Linked DNA regions of Cricetulus griseus. The protein of the gene in region 2 interacts with the protein of the main gene of each other region in a biochemical or structural test. Links are inferred from orthologs where the notes say so. Each region holds a gene or a part of one and is shown on either strand. Other genes may lie near its edges.

Region 1 (3,651 bases), on a different chromosome or scaffold from region 2:
TTGCTTTAGCTTCCTGCATGTTGCAGTTGCCTGTCATCTTTGTAGCAGGATTTTATATCACAATTACTCAACAAGAAACACTTTCAGAGTAGCTCAAAGATGGGGACTGAAAATCTATGTTCCCATTTCAGGTCTTATCCTTGGTAAGTGCGGGAAACCAGTGGTCACTGTCATTTACAGCCTCTGCCCTGCTCCTCTCATTCATGCTGAAGGACAGAACACCACCAAAGAAATTGTAGGGGAAAATTGGAAGTAATTTGATGTTTGTAATAAATTGATATGAAAGAATAGATATAGAGAAAAATAAGTAGAAATAACTTGGGAAAGTCACTTTGGTGTTTATGTAAGAAAAGTCATTTGATATATATTATTTATCCTTTTAAGGTACATTTTCTAAAGACCTTTCCTAGCAGTGAAGGAAAGCAACACACTGAATGAGTCGGTCAAACCAACTCATCATTTCTCATGTACACCTTCTTTTCATTGCTCTTAGAAATTAAGAATTAATCTGCCTTTGAAAATCATCTCTGTCTTCAGCCAATCTCCTTTTCCATTTTATTAATCTCAATAGAAACTCCTCTGTATTTCCCTGATTTCAGTTATCCCAACATGAAAATAGAAGTTGAACAAATATTAGTACAGGACAAAATAATAAATGAAGGCTTAGAATGAGTAGGATAAAGGTGTCACACAAAATCTGTCCATGTTATCTCTCTCGAAAGCTCCAGTCATATCTCAGAAAGACATGCAGCAGCAAATACATGGGGAGGGCAATGAAATGAAAACATACTGGTTCTTTTGAGTGTGGTTGACAGTTTGAAGCATATTCAGTCTGATGTGGTACAGAATGAGACTGAAATGATGAGTATTGATGAACTTGATGGTAAAAGAAATGACGTAAAACAGAGGGGTTGGGGGGGCAAATAAAGCAATCAGTGGGTAAGGATATTCATTGTATAGAATCTATTCTAATAATGGTATTGAGCAGACACTGATCTTTCTGTGGAGGCCTTTAGCCAAATCTACTTATTGTCATTTGTATATGGGCTAAACCACATTAGTAAAGTTTCGTCTACTTATTTCCACCTTTATCAGTTACTGTCGATACTTTGAATTACAATTCTTTTTCCTTCAGGATTTCAATTTCTATGTAAGTGCTATAGAGGAGAAAAACAACACACACACACACACACACACACACACACACACACACACACACACACACACACAGGAAACATGCGTTTAAAAATACTTAGAATCTAAAAATACATACAAATTGTGTGCCTAGTAATATTTGAGTGACCCAAATAATTTGAAGCTAACATTTTGTTTTTCTGTGGTCATTAGTCCTAACCTTAGCATAGAACTAAAGATGTAGGCAGGATTTTAAGCTATAGAGCATGTATTTAAATTATTTTAAGAGGTTCAAGAGTTTGTATTTCTGAGGTTCAAATTTAGAGTGATTTAAAATGGTTTGTCAATATTCCAACCTGATTTTAAATCCTACACACAGTTCTCATTAGCAGTATATATTTAGTAAGTCATTAAGTTACTTTATCCCAATTGTTTTTCTTTTGACCCTTGTAGCAACAATGAGTGAAAGGAACTAAGTAGTGGAATAAATGCTGGCGCTATAAATAATATTCTTTATTTTTCCGTACAACTAGGTGTAGGTGGCTTGAAATCCAGTGTCCTGGATAGGTAACATAAAGGCCACTTCCTTTTTCTGGGGCCACGGTAGAGATGGCCAGATACACACTTACCCTAGTGTCATAGCAGTTGGGGTCAGCCCCCTCAGCACAACACTCTTCAGTTAAGGAGACAACTTCCTTCACCAGCTGGCTGACCTGTTGAAATGTGCCACTGGGAAACTTCCTGCTGTATAGGATTAGTGATCTGAGGGAAAAGTGGTTATGTTAGTTGGAGTTGAATTGGTTGGTTTGGAATTTTGACTTATGCCAAATAGGATATCTACTCAACTTTGAAAAGAAATATTTCATACATTAACTTTTTTATTTGACTAATAGTGAGAGTATGAGGTTACACGTCAGGCATTTGCTATAGGAAAAGTCATCTTATATACAGTAAAAACTGGATTTGTAGTTGCCATCAAAGCAGCCTGGAGTCTATTTTGAGTTTACCCCAAAGAACATACTATACAGGTCATTGCTTATATTTTCCAGAGTCCAAAAAAAAATGGGCACTTCTAATTCTCCTCAGAAGCCTATATTTACTTTCTATTACATTCATTAAATTTACCAATGGTTAGTTCAGCTGGCATCTCTAGCTGACCTCCACCTGCTTGGTCCACAGTCCAAGGCTCTTTCCTCATCTCATAGACCAGGGCAGCATTCTAGACAGTGTGGAAGTTTCCTTGTGCTCAGTTTTGTTCTGGTCAAGTACCCAAGAGAAATGGATAGATATTGCAACTTACAAAGATCTGAAGTCATCTTTCCCCAGCATGGCAAGTTCCTTGCAAACTTTATCCTTTTCATAGTCTCGGCCTAGAAAGCAGATATAGAAAATAGGTGTGTTTTTCCTTTTAATGAATAATACATATATTATTGCTCTTCAACATGATCTGTGGTAAAGGCATTTCTTAATATCTGTGTACAGTCAATTTGGAGATATGTTTTCAGCTATTTTCTCACAAAAAGCCTCAATGTTGTGATTTTTAAATTAACTTTTACCATATAGCAAGGAAAAATGGTAGAAAGGCTAAAATAATGCTAAGAATGAGTCAGATGTTACACATCGGTGAGTGAGTTAGAATCACCTATTCGAAAAGTATCCTCCTCAGTCTGTGTAAAATGCTGAAGGGACTGTTTCTTCTTTCTCTCCCCCCTTTTCCTTCTTTCTCTCCCCTCTCTCTTCCTTTCTCCTTTTTTCTCTCCTTCCCTTTTATTGTCTTATGTCTTCAACAAGACAAAGAACAAAAGGAAACAGAGAAGCTTCTCCACTCCAAGGTGAGTTTCCAGTTGTATTAGGTCTGAACTTGGAAGAGGCCAGAGGTTGAGAAAGCTGCTGCCTGACTCTGTTACCACCCCAGACACCATAAGGACTTCAGCTAGGGAAAGGGATAGTCTACAGAATAGTGTGGACTAGTTCCTCACACTTCAGGTACAGTGATAGCAGTTTCATAACCACTAGCCTGTTGAGGTTTTCCCTAGAGTTTGGGATGCAGTGGTCAGCTGTCTGATTCAACTCCAGAAATCTAAATGCAGTGGGGTAGGTAAAGGAGCCTAGGGAACAAAGATGATGGTGGCGAGTAGGAACCAGTGGCCCTCAGATCTGAGACAGACCAAATAAGACCAAATAAGCAAGGGGGCCTGCAGGCATCTTCATCTTGACCCCTAGAATAGCAACAAGAATGACAAAACCACAGGGCTTTCTGGAGGGCAGTGGACAGCCAACCGTGAGTCACCTCTGGGCAGACTGAGGTGATTTTTGAACAATCAGTGCCAAGGGGAGTCATAACATGCCTGACAGATGTGAAAAGAAAACAAAAAGAAAACAAAAGCCAGGCATGGAGACCACACCTTTAATCCCAGCACTCACGGGACAGAGGAGAGCATACCTCTGTGAGGTCCAGTCCAGTCAGGGCTATATAGTGAGATCCTGTCTCAAACAAAACTAAACAAAACAAAACAA
Region 2 (4,262 bases):
TGTTTCTGCCCTTTCTCCAGTCTCCCTTGGTCCAGTGAGGCATGCAGTTTTTCTCTGGCACTGCCTCCTTGTGCATAGTATGTCTGTTTTGAGGATTGTAAGGTTGAGTCAAGTTTGGTGACATGTACCTGTAATCCCAACACTAGAGCCTGAGACAGGAAGATACTGAGTTCAAAGCCAGTCTGGACAGCATAGCAAGGTCTGGACTTGAAAACCAAAACAGATTGCCACTCCCTCCCCCTAGTTCGTTATCCAATGTCAACCTTTAAATAATATACATACAAATAATATTTTGTGGACCGAGCAGGTTGTGCTTATATATTTAGGTCAACAACTAAAAGAGGCCATGAATTTGAGTGCAGGGGAGCATGGAGGTGTTGGAGGGGGCATGGGAAAGGAAAAATAATTTAATTATATTTTAATTTCAAAAAATTAAGGAAAACAGTGTTTTTCAAGATTGCTCTAATCTGTCTTTGGAGTCACTGTGACTCTGGATTTGGTACACTAAAGATCCTCTGGGATGTTGATCTCTCTTTAGGTCAAAGCCAGAGGGACGTACCTACTTAGCAAACTGAATGTCAGATTTTATTGACTTACTATGTGACTGAGAAACAAATATAGAGGCTCTTAACTCATGAAAGGTGACAGCTGGTAACTCATGGGGAATGTTCCTCACTTTCTACATTGATTAAAACAAACAACAACAAACATGGAGATAGGGTCTTACTATGTAACTGGATGATCTGGAATTCACTATTGTAGACAGGTTAACCTCAGACTCATATCCACCTGCCTCCTAAGTCCTGGAGTTAAAGGACACCACACCTATCAATAATGGATGAATCTTAAAAGTGTTTTAGTGAGTAAGATGTTTGTGTGGCTTTCTGAGCTATCAGTAAATTGTCACTGCTACCAAATATGGTGATTACACTGGCTGTAATCTCAGTATTGAGTCAGTGAGCCTGAGTCTATGATTTCCTGATTGTTTCCAGTTTCACCATAGTTGGTCCTTTCACAAACACTGCCCATGGATGTTGTTCTGTAAACCCCAGTAAGGGGCCCTGGGGGTATAGAGGCAGAGATTTCATTTTATCCTCTTGACTGGCTGCTGTGGGAAGTGCCAGCAATCTCCAAGACAGATTCATGGCATCTCAGGCTAGCTATCATTATCCCATCTTCTTGAGTGTTTCCAGGCTAACTACGGTCCCACTACTGCCTACCCACTCCCATTCTATCCTCAGAATGATTATATATTCATGTATAAAAATTCCACATATGAGCCGGGCGGTGGTGGCGCACTCCTTTTCCTTTAATCCCAGTACTTGGGAGGCAGAGGCAGGGATCTCTGAGATCGAGACCAGCCTGGTCTACAAGAGCTAGTTTCAGGACAGCCTCCAAAGCCACAGAGAAACCCTGTCTTGAAAACCACCCTTCCCCCCACCAAAAAAAGTCCACGTATGATATAGTGACACATACCTTTAATCCTAGCACCTGGGAGGCAGAGCTAGGTAGATCTGAATTTGAGAGCAATCTAGTGTACATAGAGAGGTCCAAACCAGTTGTATAGTGAGACTCCATCTGAAGATGACAAGAACCTACATACTAAATGAAATATGTACTGAAAAGTATATATGTTGTTTTATATATATATATATATATATATATATATATATATATATATATATATATAAAAATCACATCACATTTTTTAGGATAAGTTCTCAGTATACAGCTCAGGCTGGCCTCAAACTCTCAGTCTTCCTGCCTCGGCTTCACAAGTGCTAAGACTACAAGTGTGCACCACTATCCCTGGCTAGAACATTTTTTTGAGGCATGTGGGGAAAATAAACCCAACTAACTGTGTAACCAGGAAGCCTTGGGTTCCTGTTTTGAAATGGGCCTTGGATTGTATTGGACCACCATTTGTTTCATGTGAGGTATGGTGAATACTTTGCATACCTTGACTTTGTTCTCAGTCAAAGCCTTTCCAAAAGTTTTTCCTCACCTGCTAGATGGCAGGTCCCCTGTATAGGAATGCAATTAGATATACCATGGCCTTAATAAAAACAAGGGGTGTTTACTCCATAGAGCCAGTTTCTGAGGCCAGCACATAGCTCAGCAGGGAAGCACAGCAAGCCTGGCAGCTGAATTCAATCTCCAAAGTCTACATGAAGGTGGAAGGAGAGAACCAGCTCCACAAAGCTGTCCTCTGACCTCCATGTGTGCGCCTCCTTGTGGCTCTGTGGTTCCAGAGCTGCTACAGGGTTAGAAGGGTAGAGCTGGCCTGTGCTGCTGCCCATTGCAGTGTTACTGTTACCTGCCCTGTTTGCCTCTGGGTAGTGTGAGGGCCAATAGAGTGTGAGAGGTAAAGGGGCAAAGAAAGAAGTGTGAACCTATCAGCTTGCTCACAACATTGGGAGGCCAGCAGGAAGATAATGAGTTTGAGTCTAGCTAGGATTCCGGAGAAAGAGGCCTTGTCAGGAAAGGAAGAAACTGTAGCTGAGGTTGGAGGGCACCTGCCCTGCTCACCTGCTTGCTGCTCTGCCAGATGTGGTGCAGTAGGTTTCCTGGAGTTCAAAGACACTTGTTCAAGGTTGACTTTGGATGTGCTGAATGTCATGCTGTGCTGAGAAAACTTTGTAGTGGGATAAAAGAGTTATGGTGAGCAGACTTGCCGCAATCTGGGGCGGTCTGCTCTTACCGCCCAGTCCCTCTTGTGTCCAGGGAGGGCATCAACACATTTCTCCCTACACTCATGGCCTAAATAAAGGACTCCCCAAAACTGTATGTACTATGCATTTGCTGCTTGTTTCTAATAGTTCGTTGCCCCAGCATAGGGTAAAGACAAAGCCACAAAGCTAATGGTGGCCCTGTTTGGCTGTGCAGCCCACAGTTTAGGAAGAGCTGTGTGGGAGTCTGGAGGAGCCTCAGCGTGCCTCTGCCCTCAGAGGATCTGCACCTGTCCCAGCTGCTGAGTTCCACTCCAAATGTGAACAACTATTTTGGGAACGCTTAAGCCATCAGAAAAATGAATGGCTCCATGGTGGCTTGGCTCTGATGCACCCCTCAAAGTATGTCGCCTGGTTGGCCTCAACACTTTCTTGGTCTTTCTTGTTCTCCCTGCCCAAATTGAGACAGGCGCCAAGAGGCAACGACCTCTGCTCACCCCCACCCCATCTTCCATAAGTAGCTCCTAGAAACCCAAAGGCAGAGCCCCATCTATTAGCGGTATAAATAGAACCCACACAGGCCTGGCAGGTGGTGGCTCCTAGGTGGATGGAAAGCAGCCGACGGACAGGCATCATCCTCTAAATATAAAGATGAGTCTGCCTGGGAGAAGCCACTCCTGGGCTCCAGTGTAAAGTCTTGGTGCTTCTTAGAGGGGACATCCGTCACCATCTCTCTCTGCCTCAGCCCCCTCCAGGCTCCAGTAGTTCTGGGTGTGACCCTTCTTTCAGACCCAGGGGAAGGACTCAGTGCCACCCAAGGGGAAGGGGTAGTAGCATTTGCTCAACCCAGCCAACTAAATGAGAGTTCTGGAGTTAGGAACCTCCCCCCCCCCCAGCCCACTCTGACCACCACTCTATTCCATTCAAGAATACAATGCAGAATGTAGGGGACAGCTCTAATCTGGCCTCAAATGCCATGTGCCAGGGCCACATAGCCCCCATGCCTCCCCTCACTACCACCTCCTCCTCTCTCCAACAGTTGTCTGCCCTGTGACAGCTGCATGCCCTACACTGACTTACAGCCTGTGCCGGGTGGGGGTAGAGGGCAGTGTATATGGGTCAGATCTCTGGATTGGGGGGCTTTGAAGTAGGAAAGAATATGGAGTTCAAATGTGGGGCTTATTTTCTAACCCTACTTGGGGCCTGTGAACCCTCCCAGCTCACCTGACCATAGGGCTCCCTTCTCTTGGGCTTAAGCAACAGGGCTTGGTAGCCTGAGTTAACCCATAAATGGGGTATAATGTGTCATGTCATGAATCAGTACCTTCTCAGAGGCTCATGTACCCAGGGTGGGCAGAGCTGGGGAGACCTTTAAAACAGGTAGAGTTTGGGAAATGCAGACCAGTCATCTGCAAAAACAATGACCTTTGGCCCAGCACATCCCTTCAGTGAGCATTGGAGCCAGTTGGGAGGGGCAGACAGCTGGGGATACTCTCCATATATGGCCCGGTCCGGTCCTAGCTACCTGGGCCAGGGCCAGTCCTCTCCTTCTTTGGTCAGTGCAGGAGACCCGGGCGGGGACCCAGGCTGAGA
Region 3 (3,651 bases), on a different chromosome or scaffold from region 2:
CCTCCCTCCCTCCCTCCTTCCTTTTCTTTTGACATGGTTTCACTGTGTAGCCCTGGCTGTCCTAGAACTTGATCTGTAGACCAGGCTAGCCTCCTGTCATGGAGATCCACCTGCCTCTGCCTCCTGAGTGCTGCTATTAACAGTATGAGCTACCATCATTTTCTTAATGTTTGTTTTTCAGTGCTAGGGGAGTGACCCAGAGCTACCTGGATCTATGAAAGTGCTCTGCCTCTCCTGACCCCAAATACAAAGTTAAAGTCCAATAAGATACCACTTTATAAACTATCAGACCAAAATCCATGAGTTTAACAGTACAGTCTGCTGAGGTGGAGCCAGGGAAACAGGGACTCTTGCATGTAGCTGGCAGGAATACAGGAATTTGAAACCGGGGCTATCTATCAAAATGACAGGTCCATTGACACTGATCTGGCGATCTATTTCTGGGAACTCAACACAGAGAGACTTCTCTAAATATCTGACTGTTTGCTAACAGTTATTAATCTTGACGGTGCTGATGAGATCAGGTGACTAGCACACAAGTATGCATGGGTGTGGGGAGCTCGTTGATAAATGGTGGTATAGCAACCCAAAGGCATGGTACAGTTGTTAGACATGCACACCTACATCAGGAAGCTGTCAGTTTCCAGGAAGGCTGTAGCCAAAAGGCAAGCCACAGACCAATACACTTAGCATTTGCTTACATTACATATCCTTCCAGTAATTATGCGAAAAGAATAAATAAAAACGCCAAACTGGTCAAGAGGAAAGGGCGGGGCTTGTGGCTGAGTCAACAGGGGCACAGGTGGGATGAAAAGTTCAGAAATGACACTTTTGGACTCTGCCTTGGGTTTGGAGCAATGTGATTATATGTTCTGCTTTAAAACAATTATTTAAATAATATTGTAATTGACATATATAATAATACTACATGTTTATGTACTACAAAATCATCTATATTGCTACAATGGAAGCCTCTGAGAGCATAAACTGATAGTAAGATTTGTCATTGATTGGCAGGAGGTGCTGGGTTGGTGTGTCTCTGTCCCTAAGATGGGCATGTCATATTCGATGGCAAGTTTAGAGTTGTGACTCTAGGTGAGAATGGGTCCCAGCAGGGTATGGCTGTCTGAACTCAGGCCTCTATAATCCAGACTCCCTGAGGTCAACCATATTTCTCTTCCTCTTGTCACCATATTCAGGCACAGTAGGAGCCACACACTCCCACTAACACCAAGCAGACAGCCTAGGTCCCTCACCAGTTGTAGATGATCTGTCCCTGGCGGCCACCATGTCGATAGTTGTACAGAATGATGTAGCTGTCACCTCCATAGAACTGCCCGTATGTGGCAGGGTCCACTGGTACCTTGTTGGAGCCTTCAATTCTCCAGATCTGCAGGGGTAGAGTTGGGGTCAGATAACTGCAGTGTGTCCCTCTGTCACCTCGGACTAGCTGGTGACCCCAGCATAGTAGACAGTGTAGATAACAGGACAAGCTTTTCATGGTTGCATGGTGCCATTCAGGCCCAAGCAAAGTTAAATAATTTATCCCACTCACAGGGCTGCTGAGAGGCATGGCGGGGCCATGACCCCAGGGTTCCTGTTCTTCTCACCACATTTTGGCTAGACCTGTGCTCCCTTCTGAGAGGCCCCTCAAGATAGCTCTAGATTAGAAGACTGAGTCAGGCCTGAGTCAAACCTAACCCCCAGCCCTTGAGGGGTCATATAACTTCAGACAACATCACCTCTCAGAGCCTCAGCTTTCACTCCTGAAACATGATGGCAATGACAACAGTTAAGGGAAGTCCTTGAAGCCTTAAATTCTAGTCATGAAAATGGCATGATGCCCTGTGCCACAAGCAGGCTGTGAGCATCAGCTGCTAGCAAAAGGACTGTCATTACGTCTCCAACATTTCCATTCTCCTCATTGTTATGGAATCACTAGGATTTTATGGGTCATCTCACTCATGAGGGCCATAGTTGGATGACCTCAGAATGACCCCTGCAGGCGGATCTCTGCAGAGATCCGGTGACAGGACTTTAGTCGTCAGGAGGCCCTGCAGTGACACCTGGTGGTGGTAAAATGGAGACTCTGACCCACCCCATTTTACAAGAGAGCAAGTGAGGCTCAGAGAGGTTGCATGAGTGGCCCCAGGAGACTCAGCCAGGCTCAACTCTTTGTCCACTAAATACTTTCACCGTCTCCTCTCCACACCCTAGAGTAACAAAAGATTAGTATCCAGGACAGAAATGATGCCATACAAAGATGATCCCGTAGTATGCCTCTTAGAAAACAATGGGCCCAGGCCTGAAACAGACTCTGGGTCCTGAACCTCTCTGAACACACCTCCACCTGCACTGGTTCCAGGTGCCGCATCATCTCTCCCCTAAACCATCACAACCACCCCTTCCAGACATTCCAGCTTCGTTTCTCTGCCTCCTACCTATTCTTACAGTGTGTTTCTAAAGCCCGGGACCAAATCTGCCATACACCCACTAAAAAGACAAGATGAAAGGAAAACCCAAAATACTTGATTACTGCCACACCCCATGAATGGCATCAGCACCAAACTTGGATAAGCACTGTCTTCCTCAAATAGTGGGTCACACCTGGGATGTGTCCCCTATACCCACCCCAGCAGTAAACCCTACTACTGTGATATCCCCATTGCCACTGCCCTTCCTGTGTTCCCACAAAAATCCCCTGTGCTTCCTTTCAGCTCTGGGAACAACAGACTTCAAGATTCTGTTGTGGCTGTGGCCACCTCCCCTCCCATCCAGGCACTCCTAGGGAAAAGGAGGAGTCTGGCAAAGAGTCTGGCACATAGTAGGTACTCAGGGGATGCTTGTCGCCAACAAACAAAGTCGAACAAAAGAATCTCATCTGCAATAACTGGTGGAAAACATAAAAGAAACATGCTCAGGGAGACAGAGGGTGGGGACATGAGCCATGGGTACCTGGGAGGGAGGGAAGGGGGGGCATCCAGCCAGAGCTGGCCCAAGCACAGCAATACCATAACAAGCATCCAGAAACTGCTTTTGTTAAAAAGCACTGGCTCCTGCCTGTGACCAGGGGCAACTGAAGCTGGAAGGGCGTCTAGGCCTCCATTTGGCTTGGGTCTCCCTTACTCTGAGTCACTTGCTCAGCTCTGCTTGCAGATATATTACTCCCTCAAGGGGCATCTTGCTGACCTATCTCACCTGCCTTCAAGGCTAAAGGCAGAGATAATCACAGCCCGGAACTGTGTCACTGCAAGAGCAGCTTTCTCACCCACCCGAGATGATGCTGATTATTCAAGAGGGAGAGGCAGCACCCTGAAGTCTAACTGGCCTTAACCATAGGGACCTCCTAGACCTCCCTGCAAACTAGATTTGAGGTGATTAATCAGGCCACACTTTGACCAGGACTGCTTATTTACACACACCTCCAGCCCCAACTCTCCCTCTATTTAAAGCTCATGTCCATGCTGTGAAGATGGACTTGGGAATCATGAGGACCCTTTTCTAGCTCTCCTCAATGTGGCTACATTGATAAAATCCCCCATCTGCCCTTCACCATCCTTCAACCGGTGTAACGGGACAGGTGACTGAGGAATTCCAGGCCTGTGGAATCTGGCAGAGCCAGGCTTTTACTCTAATAAACCGTGGTTCCGA

The links.
Region 1: the proteins of Acta1 (region 2) and Gc are reported together in a solved structure, tested with the Homo sapiens proteins (2 studies listed by BioGRID and IntAct). The link is inferred for Cricetulus griseus from reciprocal best matches to the Homo sapiens genes ACTA1 and GC.
Region 3: the proteins of Acta1 (region 2) and Gsn are reported together in a solved structure, tested with the Homo sapiens proteins (3 studies listed by BioGRID and IntAct). The link is inferred for Cricetulus griseus from reciprocal best matches to the Homo sapiens genes ACTA1 and GSN.

Annotation. Positions count from the first base shown.
Region 1 is NW_023276807.1:154,301,417-154,305,067, forward strand, and holds part of Gc (vitamin D-binding protein), read right to left. Parts: intron 2,505-3,651; coding exon 2,435-2,504; intron 1,897-2,434; coding exon 1,764-1,896; intron 1-1,763. UniProt on the Homo sapiens protein: Involved in vitamin D transport and storage, scavenging of extracellular G-actin, enhancement of the chemotactic activity of C5 alpha for neutrophils in inflammation and macrophage activation.
Region 2 is NC_048596.1:200,578,219-200,582,480, reverse strand, and holds the start of Acta1 (actin, alpha skeletal muscle), read left to right. Parts: upstream 1-1,378; 5' UTR 1,379-3,032; coding exon 3,033-3,071; intron 3,072-4,262. UniProt on the Homo sapiens protein: Actins are highly conserved proteins that are involved in various types of cell motility and are ubiquitously expressed in all eukaryotic cells.
Region 3 is NC_048599.1:147,119,615-147,123,265, reverse strand, and holds part of Gsn (gelsolin), read right to left. Parts: intron 1,391-3,651; coding exon 1,257-1,390; intron 1-1,256. UniProt on the Homo sapiens protein: Calcium-regulated, actin-modulating protein that binds to the plus (or barbed) ends of actin monomers or filaments, preventing monomer exchange (end-blocking or capping).